3 linked regions of the Schizosaccharomyces pombe genome follow. The gene in region 1 interacts genetically with each later gene. Each region holds a gene or a part of one and is shown in the gene's direction. Other genes may lie near its edges.

The links. Genes that interact genetically often act in the same process or in processes that back each other up.
Region 2: mutations in rei1 (region 1) and rrp8 together harm fitness more than expected from each alone (negative genetic interaction), as found in Schizosaccharomyces pombe (one large-scale study listed by BioGRID).
Region 3: mutations in rei1 (region 1) and rsa1 together harm fitness more than expected from each alone (negative genetic interaction), as found in Schizosaccharomyces pombe (one large-scale study listed by BioGRID).

The regions. Positions count from the first base shown.
Region 1 is NC_003421.2:1,220,248-1,225,147, reverse strand, and holds rei1 (ribosome biogenesis protein), read left to right. Parts: upstream 1-1,966; 5' UTR 1,967-2,140; coding exon 2,141-3,532; 3' UTR 3,533-3,909; downstream 3,910-4,900. Other genes in the region: meiotic cohesin complex STAG protein Rec11, read left to right, coding at 1-278, 316-731, 775-1,060, 1,148-1,462; vgl1 (vigilin), read right to left, coding at 4,131-4,900.
Region 2 is NC_003424.3:1,138,654-1,143,022, forward strand, and holds rrp8 (rRNA methyltransferase Rrp8), read left to right. Parts: upstream 1-1,955; 5' UTR 1,956-1,967; coding exon 1,968-2,924; 3' UTR 2,925-3,349; downstream 3,350-4,369. Other genes in the region: protein ema19, read left to right, coding at 1-464; UBA domain protein Mud1, read left to right, coding at 477-680, 795-1,589. UniProt on the Schizosaccharomyces pombe protein: S-adenosyl-L-methionine-dependent methyltransferase that specifically methylates the N(1) position of adenine in helix 25.1 in 25S rRNA. Required both for ribosomal 40S and 60S subunits biogenesis. Required for efficient pre-rRNA cleavage at site A2.
Region 3 is NC_003423.3:4,331,158-4,335,431, reverse strand, and holds rsa1 (ribosome assembly protein), read left to right. Parts: upstream 1-2,046; 5' UTR 2,047-2,308; coding exon 2,309-2,686; exon of another isoform or gene 2,687-2,744; coding exon 2,745-2,891; exon of another isoform or gene 2,892-2,967; intron 2,968-2,977; coding exon 2,978-3,076; 3' UTR 3,077-3,254; downstream 3,255-4,274. Other genes in the region: protein Dbl6, read right to left, coding at 230-1,282; vps1302 (lipid transfer protein), read left to right, coding at 3,404-3,425, 3,464-3,576, 3,639-3,791, 3,877-4,274.

The DNA.
Region 1 (4,900 bases):
TATATCAGTCGCAGGAGAATAACTTTTATGATGCGGATTTCATACGAGAATATGATATGAATAATCATAGGCAGCAATTAATTGAGGAAAGCATGCATTCCATTCATACAAACTCACAATTACTTGCCAGTTGGGAGGATGTTGCAAAGCTCTTGCTTTATGATCGCTTTGATGCAAAAGATACTAACAGTGTCTTAAACCCCTGTATACCGAGCAACGCAGTGATAGAATTTTCTTCTATCTATCTCCATTATTTTGCAACACATATTAGCAAAAGAGTAAGTTATTTAAAGCTTCATATTACTAAACCTCTAGTCGAAGAAGCCAGGTAAAAGACTTGAAGATGAGGTCGTAAACCAACAGCAAGCAATGTTACGAAACCTTCCATTACTATTACAGAAATACAGAGAATCTTGTGTTTCATCATACTTTTTTATAAAATGCGTAGAGCAAATTCCTGACGAGCTTCTTTATAAGAGAGAATTTCATAAGGACTTTTCAAAGTTGTATAAAGAAATACTGGATATATTTAATTCAACTACCGTTAACTTCCTGATGATTTTGTGCAGCAGATTCTTCCACCGATTGGCGGTCAACAAAGTTGTACAGGAAGATATATTATTTGCCATTGACAATGTATATAATGATTTAGCAGAAAGTTTACACGAGCAACTCAATGCATACATTCAAAGAAAAAAAATAAACAAAAAAAATCAGTTGAATGGCAATGAGTAAGGATTTTTCTTTTTGTTATTAGATTGCTAACTTTACAAGTGAAACGCAAAACTTGGTTTTAGCTTTAAATAAGTTTGGATGCTTTGCAAAGGAAATGGTCTGTCTGCGAGACGTCAATGATTGGAACATTAAACTGTCAGAAAAATTATGCGAAATTTGTAGTCTTGAAGTCGGTCCTATCGTCTGTTATTCTTCTTTGAAAGTTTTATTTCTTCTTCTGCTTTCTGATATGAGAGATAGAAACTGTATTTTTACAAATATATTTTTAAAAGCAGCTAAGGTTGCGAAGCAAAAAAATGGAAACTCCTTTTTAAGCAAAGTTTTCGTAAGTCTCTAATGTTGCTGTCTATCTATCTTTTATGACTGTTGATTTCAATCACATTTAGTGGAGTAAAATGCTAACTATAAGCAGATTACAATTACGATGCTTACATTGTTTCTTGGATCAAAGGCAAATAATTGGGATATAAATTTTAGTGACGATGACTTGAAATTGATGAATGAAGAAGAAATCATGGAACAAATTGAAACTTTTAAAGCATGGTCAATGAAATTTAAAGAGAAATCATCTGGAAACCCTTCTTACTTTTTTTCACCCGAAGATACTGAGGAGAAGGAATTATGGAATAATCTGTTTGAGGATTGGTATCCCAATCGTGCTAGAGATCCTGGAACACTGAGTCATTTAGTGAAAGGTTTAAAAGAAACAGCTGACCATTTATCATAAAACGAAATTTTAACACTAATTAAACCCCGAGGGAAAAGAGATAAGAAAGCACATGTGCTAACTTTCTTATTGAGGCAAGGAAACTTATTAAACAAAAGGAAAAGACATTAAACTCTATTATGTATTTCCTATATGATTATTCCAACGAAACTAACTCAAAAATACCTCAATTTCAAATACTCAATTTTAATTAAACCCTGAAGAGTGGGAGCTCGTGTGCTCGCTAAAACTACAATGCATGCCATTTCTTTCTTTCCAGCCCTTTGTCTATATATGAGTTTTCTTAGGACTTACTGGTTAATCAAAAGGTACGCCTTATGTTACTAAGCAATAGAAAATGTTTTTGAGGGATGCATAAATTAAGTTTAAAAAAACAAGACATTAAGATGTTTAACATATCAATTAATTTTATTTGATTTCAATAAAATTGATAATTATTTGACACTTTAAAATAATTTGGTGGTGCTACAAGTTATGTAGGCAATAGTTGATCGTAGGCAAGTTGGATTCAACCAACACCTTTTTGTGCAAGGTATTGTAAAAAAGGGTTGACTTCATCTCATTAAGTTAGTTTGAGTCAAAGAATATATTTGAGGAAAGACTCGGCTTCAATATCAATTTTTTTTTCGATAAAAAAGTGTACTGGCTAAGAATTGAATTACTTGACAGAATACCGAAATGTCGACTTCTTTTGCTTGCACGACTTGTACTGTGGCTTTCAATAATGCAGAATCACAGAAAATACATTGGAAGTCTGACTGGCATCATTATAATCTGAAGAGAAAGGTTGCTAGCTTGCCGCCGTTGAGTGCTGAGGTGTTTGCTGGAAAGATTTTGTCCATTCAAAAGCAGAACGAGGAAGTCCAGAAAAAAGCAGAATTTTATCAAAACTGTGAAGTATGTAATAAAAAGTTTTATTCAGAAGGCGCCTATTCATCACATATGGCTTCGAAGAAGCATCGCGATAACTTGAGCAAATTTCAAAGAAACAGCCGTATTAAGAAACTTCAAAGTGAAGATGCAAGTAGTATTGCTTCTTCAACCTTGTCAATGGGTGAACCTGTAGTTGATAGCGAAATTGAGGAAGAAGAAGATTTAGCTTCACAACTGACATCAAGGGCGATATCCCTTTCCAACTTATCTCTTCATGGTCGAGAAAGTGAACCCTCTAAAACTGAATTGGCTACTTCCATACCTCAATCGAACGAAGCTTCCAAGTCTCATCTATTTACACAAGAACCAACTCCTGAAGAAATTGAAGCTGAACTTGCTCGTCGAAGTAGTCAACGTCTTTCACCAAGAGATTGCCTGTTTTGCGCAGCCTCTTTTTCTTCATTTGATACATGCAAGAAGCATATGAAGGCTTCTCATAGCTTGTACATTCCTGAGCGGGAATATTTGGTAGATGAACCAAGTCTATTCGATTATTTAGCAGAGAAAATTTCTATCGGCTTTACTTGCCTTACCTGCAATCGTGAATTTAAATCACTAGAAGCTGTTCGTGCCCATATGCAGCAAAAGGGGCATACCTCTATTGCCTATGATACAGAAGATGAACAGCTTGAACTCTCTGATTTTTATGATTTTACTACATCGTATCCTGACTATGCAGTAAAGCAAGACGAAACTGTCGTAGAAGAAGATGGAAGCTCTGGTGAAGGAGACTGGGAAGATGTTTCTGATGATTCAGATAACTCCAGCTTAGATAGTCTTGAAATGGGTCGTGTACCCATTGCTGACGAATATGAACTTCATTTACCCTCTGGTAATCGTGTGGGCCATCGTTCGTTATCTCGCTACTTCCGCCAAAATCTTCACTCTAGTTCTACCGCTGTAGGAGATGGTGCTTCTATTCATCAGAACGTCGCCAGACGTGCGATGAGTGGTAATGCCCGAGCTTATAGACAAGCTGTTGAAACAAGTATAGCTGGTGTTCGCGATGGCCGTAAGAATTATAGTGCCTCTCATATCAAATCATTCCAAGACCAAAGAAGAAGAGAGGAATTTGCTAACAAGATGGGTATTAAGAATAACACAAAAAAGCATTTCCGCGATGCGCTTCTTCAATAGTCTATTTATTGTACGAGGCCTTTTGTTTCTTTCATTATATACTTCATACTCCACATTCTTTCGTCTCATATTTCTCCTTACTTCCGGTGTTCTTTATTTTGGGGTTTTCTGGGTTTTTTTAACTTATTTACGCTATTTGGAAAAAAAAAACGTCCTAATATGGTTCTTCTTTTGAGAAATGGTTAAATTTTAGCTCGTTGTTTGTAAATTTATAATATTCTTTTACTAAAACTTGTTGTGTCCTATCTGTCGTACAATGCTTATTTTCTCATAAAAAATCATAGATTTCAACTATTCTAGTTTCTTGAATTATCTATACATTCCAATGTTTATATCTGAAAAGATTGAATAAATGCACTAGGTACGCCTTTTTCCTATGCGTCTATATTTGTAATATTAAACAAAGGCAATGTAACAAAGCAAAGAAGGAATCAATAAGGAAAATGCTCGATTCAAGCAATTTCCGTCTCCTTAAAAAATGACATGTAGTAATAAAAGAGCGACAAAATGATATTTCGTACACATAATTTTCAAATACACTCTCAAAAAAATTTGAGAAATGAATGTAAGTACTAAATAAAGGCTCCAAAATTTTACCTTACTCTTGATTTTGGTTTTCTTGAAGTCTCTCGAAAATCAGATCTTTAGCCTTGACAACGCCAGCTCGACTTCCTTGGACTACTACAATTTCATCGCCTGGAGTACGAGGAACATCAATTTTAACTTGGGCGATCTTTCGGATCTTATTAATAATAGAGCCACCAGAACCGATTATACGACGGTGCAAGTTCGTTGGGATACCCAAGTAAGCAATACAATTTTCCATAACTTGCTTGATAGATTTTTCCAATGAAGCGATAGCCTTTTCAACATTTTCCTTATGTCCTCGAACAGCCCACTCAGATGAAGAAGAACCAGTGTAGTCGTGAGTTACCAGTTTCCAAGGGAAAACGCCATCCTCGTGGTCTTCAAGAACAACCTCCGTGGGTTGTACAGGCTTGATCTCGGGGGTATCAACAAACACTTTGAGATCGGATCGAAGCTTTTTCATTAAAATACCTTTCATTATACTTTCATAGACCGTATCGGGAACTGTAATCATCTGGGTATATTGACTGGCAACCTTCTCTTGAATCATTTCCTTGGCTTTTTCACAATTCTCCGGACTTCCGACGATTGTAATAGTGACAGTCTCTTCAGGGTCAAGAACATTCGGGATGTTGAGCATGGTAGACGTTTTCCTTTCGATGTCACGACGAGTGGAGCCCATTCTTCCAATGATTGAGCTTATACATCTCTGCGGGACTTCAATCTTCTCTTCGACTTGGTTCTTCAGCTCTTCAACTATCTCCAATAATCGGGTCTCAA
Region 2 (4,369 bases), on another chromosome or scaffold:
ATTATTTCGTAAGCCATCTAGCTGCAGCATTATTTGTTGATTTACCTATAACTGAATGGCTTGGAGGCTCTTTAAGCTGTCTTTCTGGTTTGCGACGCTTTTATTTATCTACATATGAAGACCCTATTCTTTTAATCCCTGCGCCTTGGAAAACTGCATTGTTTTCTTCAGAACTTTTCTTTCAAGTTCCTTTTTTTATTTGGGTTTCTCTACGCTTACGAAAGAAAGCGAGGGATCCAGTTTTATGGGTTGCAATTCTCATATACGGGGTGCATGCTTTTACTACGACATGGTGCTGCATGTTCGAGTTATTTGCTGAAAAAAAATGGATGATAATGAGTTTTTATTTTCCTTATTTGGCCATTCCTTTATGGATGGCAATTGATATGGGTGGCCGATTAGTCAAGTCGTGTCATGCTGCCAAATCAGGTCCTTCCTCTACCATAACCTCAAAGAGTGATTAAGAAAACACAAAAATGAATAATTTAACACCAGAAAATATTCGTCAAACGATTTTAGCAACTCCTTTTCTATTAAATCGAATACGCACAGAGTTTCCTCAACTAGCTGCTGTCCTTAATGATCCCAATGCGTTTGCTACTACATGGCAGTCCATTAATGCTTCTCAATTATTGCAGATTCCTTCTTCTACATATTCGATGGGAATGCCTTCATTTTCTGTACGTTTAATTTCGCATAATAGCGCCCGTATAAACTGCTGAGTCCAATAATTTAGTTTTAATGGACACAATAAATAAAGGGCTTTCGAAGGTGATTTACTAACATTTTTGTAGGAAGATGACCTCTTTGATGTTGAAGTCCAACGACGTATTGAAGAGCAGATTCGTCAAAATGCCGTGACCGAGAATATGCAATCGGCAATAGAAAACCATCCTGAAGTGTTTGGTCAAGTTTATATGCTTTTTGTAAACGTTGAGATTAACGGTCATAAGGTGAAAGCATTTGTGGATTCTGGTGCTCAAGCTACCATTTTGTCTGCTGATTGCGCTGAAAAGTGCGGTCTTACCAGGCTTCTTGACACTAGATTTCAAGGTGTCGCTAAGGGCGTAGGAATGGCTAAAATATTAGGTTGTGTTCACAGTGCACCTTTAAAGATTGGCGATTTATATCTTCCATGTCGATTTACTGTTATTGAAGGTCGGGATGTTGATATGCTACTTGGTCTTGATATGTTACGCCGTTATCAAGCTTGTATAGATTTAGAAAATAACGTTCTTCGGATTCATGGAAAAGAAATTCCTTTTCTTGGAGAATCTGAAATTCCAAAATTGCTGGCTAATGTGGAGCCATCTGCAAATGCACACGGTTTAGGTATTGAACCTGCAAGTAAGGCGAGCGCTTCTTCACCTAATCCACAAAGTGGCACTCGTCTTGGTACCAAAGAAAGCGTAGCACCCAACAATGAGGGATCTTCCAATCCCCCTTCCTTGGTAAATCCTCCCACTGACCCCGGTTTGAACTCCAAAATTGCACAGCTAGTCAGTATGGGATTTGATCCATTAGAGGCTGCGCAGGCGTTAGACGCTGCGAATGGAGATTTAGATGTAGCTGCTTCTTTTCTCCTTTAACGACTTAATTCGATTTCGGGGAGATTGGATATACATAATCAATGATTTTAGTCATGATAAAAATTAGGGAAATGATTATTTTCAAGATCGGTCCTGTTCTACTATTGTAGACGAATTCTTTCAAATTAATGTGTTTTATATCATTTTTTATGTGTTTTGTATCAGAAAGTAAAAATTCTATATATATGCGTAATTGCTTAATCAAACTGAGTTTTATATTTCAAGATTAGTTTTTTCAAGTATTTGTTATTTTAATTTTACGTTCACAAAAAATGAATGTTATTTATTTTAATACTTAGAAACTTTTATGGTTTCATTGGTTTGACGTACGTAGGATGAAGTTTTCTTACAACCAAATTTAATCTTATTCCCTACTTCATGTTTAAAGTAGATTGGGACTTAGGTCCAGTAAGTAAAAGCGCATCAGACCAAACGAAAGAATCTAGAAAAGAAAAAAAAAGAAAGAAAGGTGAGAGAAAGAATGTAGGAGATAAAGGCGAAAAGCTCAACGAAAAAGTTTTAAAAAAGGCAAAGTCGGTTACCACAAACAATTCCCTGAAAAGCGAGATTAAAAAAGAAAAATCAGTCCCTTCTATTAAAGAGAAAAACAAGGGGGATGCTAAGCATACTAAGTTAACGTCTCTTCAACAAAAAATGAAAGATAAACTAGATGGTGCCAATTTTCGATGGATAAATGAACAATTGTACACTACGGAAAGTGACAAAGCTGTACAAATGTTCAAGGAAAATCCAGATTTGTTTGATATTTATCACGCTGGTTTTCGATATCAAGTTGAAGGTTGGCCGGAAAATCCTGTTGATATTTTCATTCAACATTTAAAGATCAGATTTGAGCATTCAAACGCAAAGAAGAAAAACAATATTGTAATTGCTGACCTCGGTTGCGGAGAAGCTAAAATAGCTTCTACATTTAGAAAATCACGTTCTTTGCAAGTGCACAGCTTTGACCTTGTTGCTCCCAATGAACATGTGGTAGCCTGTGATATTGCGAATGTTCCAATGGCTGACGAAACTGTCGATATTGCTGTATTTTGTTTAAGTCTTATGGGCACCAATTGGCAATCTTTTTTGAAAGAAGCTTATCGTATTCTTAAAGTCGGTGGTTTACTTTGGGTTGCTGAAATCAAAAGCAGATTCTCTGATAAGAGTGGAGAAGTTTTTGCTAAAGAACTTCCAAAATTAGGCTTTGAAACTAAGTCCATTCAGCTTCAAAACAAAATGTTTACTCTGTTTGAGTTCAAAAAAGTACCTGTACACGGGAAATGTGAAGAACTCCCTCCCATATTAAGTGCTTGCATTTACAAAAGAAGATAAACAAGGTATTGTTTAGGAAAGAACTGGTCTTTCGGTATAAGAAGGTTTGGGGCTCTTGTATAATAGGTTTTGTTTTAAATTTTGGGATAATATAATATTAAACGTTTACTCTTTGTCAATCGGAAGACGGACTAACGGAAGAACGATAGGTTTATCAATATCGCATGAGAAAATAGGTTATATATTTCAGAAATAACTGTTTCGTTAGAGCTGTGAATATTCGCAAAAGCAAGCAAGAGTCACAGGCTGTGTCTAATCGTTGATAATGAAAAATATAGCTATACCAAAGACCCAAATGCTACATTCTAATTGATGGAGTAATCTATTGGCTGGCTTGTCATATCAAATCATTCATCATTTATTTTGATAGTGCATGGGTTAGACTTTGAGTAATTATTAGATTTTTTTTTAGAATATTAACTTGTGCTATATTAGCATCCTATATTTGATATGTACCTCTAACTTGTAAGTCAAAATTCACATTGAAACAAAAAGCAAAATTCGTTTATTTTTGAAGACAACATTACGAGTATCTTGTGAATCGATAAAACATTTGAATTTAATCCATCGCGGTCAAAGAATAGAAAGAATTTTCCATCCAGTATATTAGTAATTATTAATTATAGGTAGCTCCAGCAACTTATTCATGTAGCACACATATTTAGTTGCCTTAAAGGATGAAACAATGACCAAATGCTTCATTTTTTTTAGCGCTTACAAACTTACAAAGTCAATTTTTTAAAATTGCGTGAACTCTTCTTTCGCGAAGCGAAGGCTGGAGACTACAAATGATATTCATTGAGCACGAACACGACTTTGGTTTAAAAAATGGTACATGAAAATTATTACCAGAATGGGAAATGAGTAGCGTACTAAAACATTTGTTTGTCAACAATACTTGAATTAAGTAACGTTGTGAGTACTTTAAAACGCATTTAAATTGCAGCTATGAATTTTGCAAGGAGGGAAATGATCATTTTTAAATTGTTCAATCATATTACGTTTGGTATACCGATTCGACGTTTGTTTTATCTTCTTCCTTGTAATGAATATTATGCCTTAGTATGTTTGTTAAATAATGTCAGCAATACTGCACTACGATATGACAACTACGTTGCGTATCACTATATGTCACATGTTCAACATCATATCATAGATATCCGTTGATAACTATTTAGAAAGATTGTAAATAGAGCTACTGCTGAACCTCGTTTCTGAGTTCAATTATGAGCTATATTAGTGATAGGTAACATTATAACCCAGTTAATACAATACCTATACTCAGTTGCTACTCAAACAACCTGTTTATTGTAATATAAAAGATCACAAGGAAAACTCGCCGCAGTTCTACGTATCCTTAAATCAGATACCAAACTGCGTAGCTGACAGTTTAACGTATATTAAGGTTTATAATAATAGCTCATTAACGACTTATTACGAGGCAA
Region 3 (4,274 bases), on another chromosome or scaffold:
ATGCTGCTGAAACCGTAAACGGATTTTTAGGACTTTTGTTTACATATCAAAACAATGATATGATAACAAGCTGTTCTTTATAAAGAGTAATAAAAATAACGGCGCTGTAACATTGTAAACTAGATTCAACATGATAAAAAGCTACTACAAAATAAGTTGCGTAAAAAGATAGGAAATTAATTATTCAATTATTGTACAAATAAATACACACTTCGCAGCGTGAGCTAGTTCATAACTTTAAATTCATCAAGACTTCGTGAGTATCCTTAATCTTCAAGGGGCTGACCATAACAGAATGAATAGGAGAGCATTTCTTATCCAAATCATAATAAATGGAAGGAGATACAGCTCTTCTCTTCGATAAGTCGATTATTTCTTCGCCCCATCGAGTTCGCTTTTTCGAGGATGGGGTACGGGATCTGGAGTGATTGCTATTCGGAGTTGACATTTCTGTATCCTTAAAAAATACAGAACTGGAAAGCAGAGGAGATATGGGCATCTCATTCGAAGGCTTAGTAGATGGATTGTCCGTATTACTACTGTCCTCTGCAGATGACTCAATTACATCAGAGTTCTCAACAGCTTTCAAAGATCCTGATGGTGCGAGAACATTACCATTTGCACCTGTTATAGAACTGTAAAACGGTACACCCGGACCTACCATTGCAGGCGAAGCAGCTCTAGAAACAAAGGATGATGATTTTTTAGGCTCGAAAAACATCTTGGAAAATTCCGATTCACTACGGATTTCCAACTCCAGAGGAGATGATTCTTCATACAAGGCACTGGCTACGCGTTGGAACATTTTCGGTTTGGGAAGCAAAGACTTTCTTCGTAACACAGGACACAAAGATTTCGAAATTCTTCCAGAATGAGAGGGACTACAAAGGTCCTTTAAATTTTTTACTTCAATATGTTTATTTGGAGTCTTAGAAAACGAACGCTGATCCAAATTTTCATTGTAACTCAACTGCCTAGTTCCTCTAGCCATGGCAGCGGACGGCAAGTCTGTTGTAGAGTCTGATATGTACTCGGTATCATCATCTTCCATATCGGTCAGTTCTGAATCAAGTGGAAACATAGATTCATCAGTTTCGTCGCTCATTGAGTAATTTACATATCTTAATCCGATTGACGGTGAAGCTTCAGGAGAAGGGGCTGTAAAAGTTTGATGCAAGCTTGAGCACCTAATACTTTTCTCTCTGTTTCTTACAAAAAAGTTCAGACTTGAATTTGATGTTGCTGTGGTCGGTTTTCCAGGTGTTGGATGAAATGAATCCATTTCGACAGTATATCCCTACAAAATACCACAAAGACTTAAAAATAATATAAAGGCCCTATATTAAATAATCATTCTATATTTTATTGCATATGCTTTACAATTGAAAAAAATTCGTATTGACGAGGTGACGATAGGCTTCAGTTAAGATCTCGGGAGCAGTACAAAACATAAGCTTAAACATAGTTAATTCCAAAAGAGGATTCAAATCACCATTCTCATAGTAAAGCTTAACAGAAATTAACTTAATCAATAAATGAGAATTGTATAAGCCGCTTCTTTATACATAGTAAATATTAGGACAGACTATATTCAAGTAAGGATATTGTTGATACACTCATCAATTTTAATTTGCTTCAGAGATGTAAAGCAGGAAATTCAAAAGTTAAAAAATCGACAAGTGAAATTAGCTTATACATTCTGGATATTATCACTGTCCCTCTATATAACTGAAATTAAACTGAATGAAATAAATATTGCACAAATAGTCTAGTGTTGGTAGAATAATTAATTATTTCAATAGGGAGCTAATACTGTGAAATTAGTAGTATTTTGCTGTTCTACATTACATCTCGTTTTCAAGTTAGTTGTTGAGTTGGGGTGTATGATTCTGCTGTATACACTCAATGTTTTTTGCCACTTTTTCATATTATTCACAACTCCATTTGAAATTTGGAGCAATTAAAGGCTTATTTTTTTTATAATTGCTTTATCAAGCGAAAGGTGCAAAACCTAATTTAGTCCTACATCGACGTCTTATATTTTCTGATACACACACCTACATCAAAACCAGTCATCGTAAATTTTTTTAAAACCATACTTCAATTGAATCTGTTAATCAGGGTAACACAGCGTTTAAAAATAATCATATATTACATTTTGGAATTTCTGTAAATTCTCGTTTATGAGAAACACGTTCCTTACTCTATTGATTGTGTTTTGCAATTTCGCGTTGCGGTGATTATACATTGACTTTGAAAACTAATTTTTCAATTTGAGAATTTATCTTGAAGCTTTGAGTTATTTGGGATGAATCCTACCTCATTTATATATGATAAACCTCCACCTCCTCCCATCATAAACAAACCTTTTGAGCAAACGAATTCTTCTGCCTCCTTGACTCAAAAGAATTCTAGTAGTGAGACAGAAAATGTAGGAAGGCATGGGAAACGGCGAATGGATCAAGATCTTTCTTTTAAGCCAACAAAGCGAGGCAGTGGAAGAGGAAGAGGGAGAAGTTTTCGAGGGGGTTCACATGCCGGAAATACTAGGGGAGCTTGTGCAGTTGATGGAATAGAATACTTGAAGCGAAGGAATATTTCCATTAATACACCTGAGGAAATTGAAGCTTGGATTCAGGAGAGAAAAAAGAATTGGCCAACAGAGAGTAATATTCGCTCAAAACAAGTATGTCTATTTAGGTTTGCTCTAGTTGTATTCACACGTACTAATTGATGGTAATAAGGAAAAAGAAAAAGTTATGGAGAACTTAGGCGCTGCAGATACTTCACAATCGATAGACGCTCAACCTACTCCATCTCAGCACCCTTTAGCACACCATGAGCCTCACGAAAAAAGAGGACCTCCTAAAAAAAAGAGTCTCTATACAAAGGTACTTATATTTTCATTTTAGCCATTTAAAATTGGTTATGAAAAATGTGTTTATCCGATTCTTTTTACTAACATTGAACTTTCCAGTTGCTTAATACTCAATTGGAGCAAGAAAACATCTTCTTCCTTCAATTCATGAAATTATACCTTAAAAAAATGGGAATGGTTGTTAAACCTGTATCATGACTGCTGCCAAAAAATTATTTGCTATGATTTACCGCTGAACCACTCCGACTTTAGTAGCTACTTCTTCAAAGAAAACAGAAACTAAATTTTTTTTATTAACATATTCTAATGGATTTCTTGAAATTTTTACAAACGTAAACGAGATTTTTCTTTTCTTGAAAATGTCTGTTACTTAGCTTAATGTTACTTATGGTGTAGGCGTTCACGTCATGCTCTGACATTCTATCTTTATAACCCTCAACGCAGTAGTTGTAGCGTTCGAAACCATCTGTAAAGCAAAGTTCAAAATATTTACAGTTTGCTGTTTCTCACCGTATTCCCTTCAATATGTTAGAAGGGTTACTAGCAAGTAAGTCTTTTGTATTAAATACGAAACTAACGAAAAAGATTTTTTAAATCGACTCTTAGGAGAATACATTGAGAATTTTGACGCTACTCAGTTAAAAGTCGCTGTTTGGAACGGAGATGTTACGCTACGAAACTTGCAGTTGAAACGGAGTGTATGAGATTATAAGATGAATTATATTGAAAATTTTGATTTTGTATCTAATAAAATTGTTAGGCTTTCCGTAAACTAGAATTACCAATTTCGGTTCAATATGGTTTGGTTGAAGAACTGACACTCAAAATACCATGGTCTTCTTTAAAGAATAAACCAGTTGAAATATATATAGTTGGAATTCGTGCTTTGGCTTCAATGGAAGAAAATGTGAAGGTAGGGATCAAATATGAATATAGAATAAAACAGCACTTAGGACAATATAACGTTGTTTTAGAGCAGTTACTAACCATATTTATAGTCGCAATCAGAAGTTGACCCACATCAAGTCTTAGAGTCAAAGAGAAGACAAATGCAACTGTGGGAGGCTTCACAGATTGGCAAAGCAGAAACGGCATATGACCCTAAGACACAAACTTTTACCGAGTCTTTGATTACTCGAATGATTGATAATATTCAAATAAATATCCGAGATATTCACATACGTTTTGAACACTTACCTGTTTCCAATGTTGTTCCAGGTGGCTATTCCTTTGGATTGCTTCTTTCCGAATTTTCAATAGAATCTTGTAATGAGGAATGGACTTCGACATTTGTAGAAACCGAATCCCAAACTATCTACAAACTCTGTTCTTTACGAGGATTTGGTATTTATTCTGATGAGACTGCGGAATGCATTGATAAAACTGATATTAATGA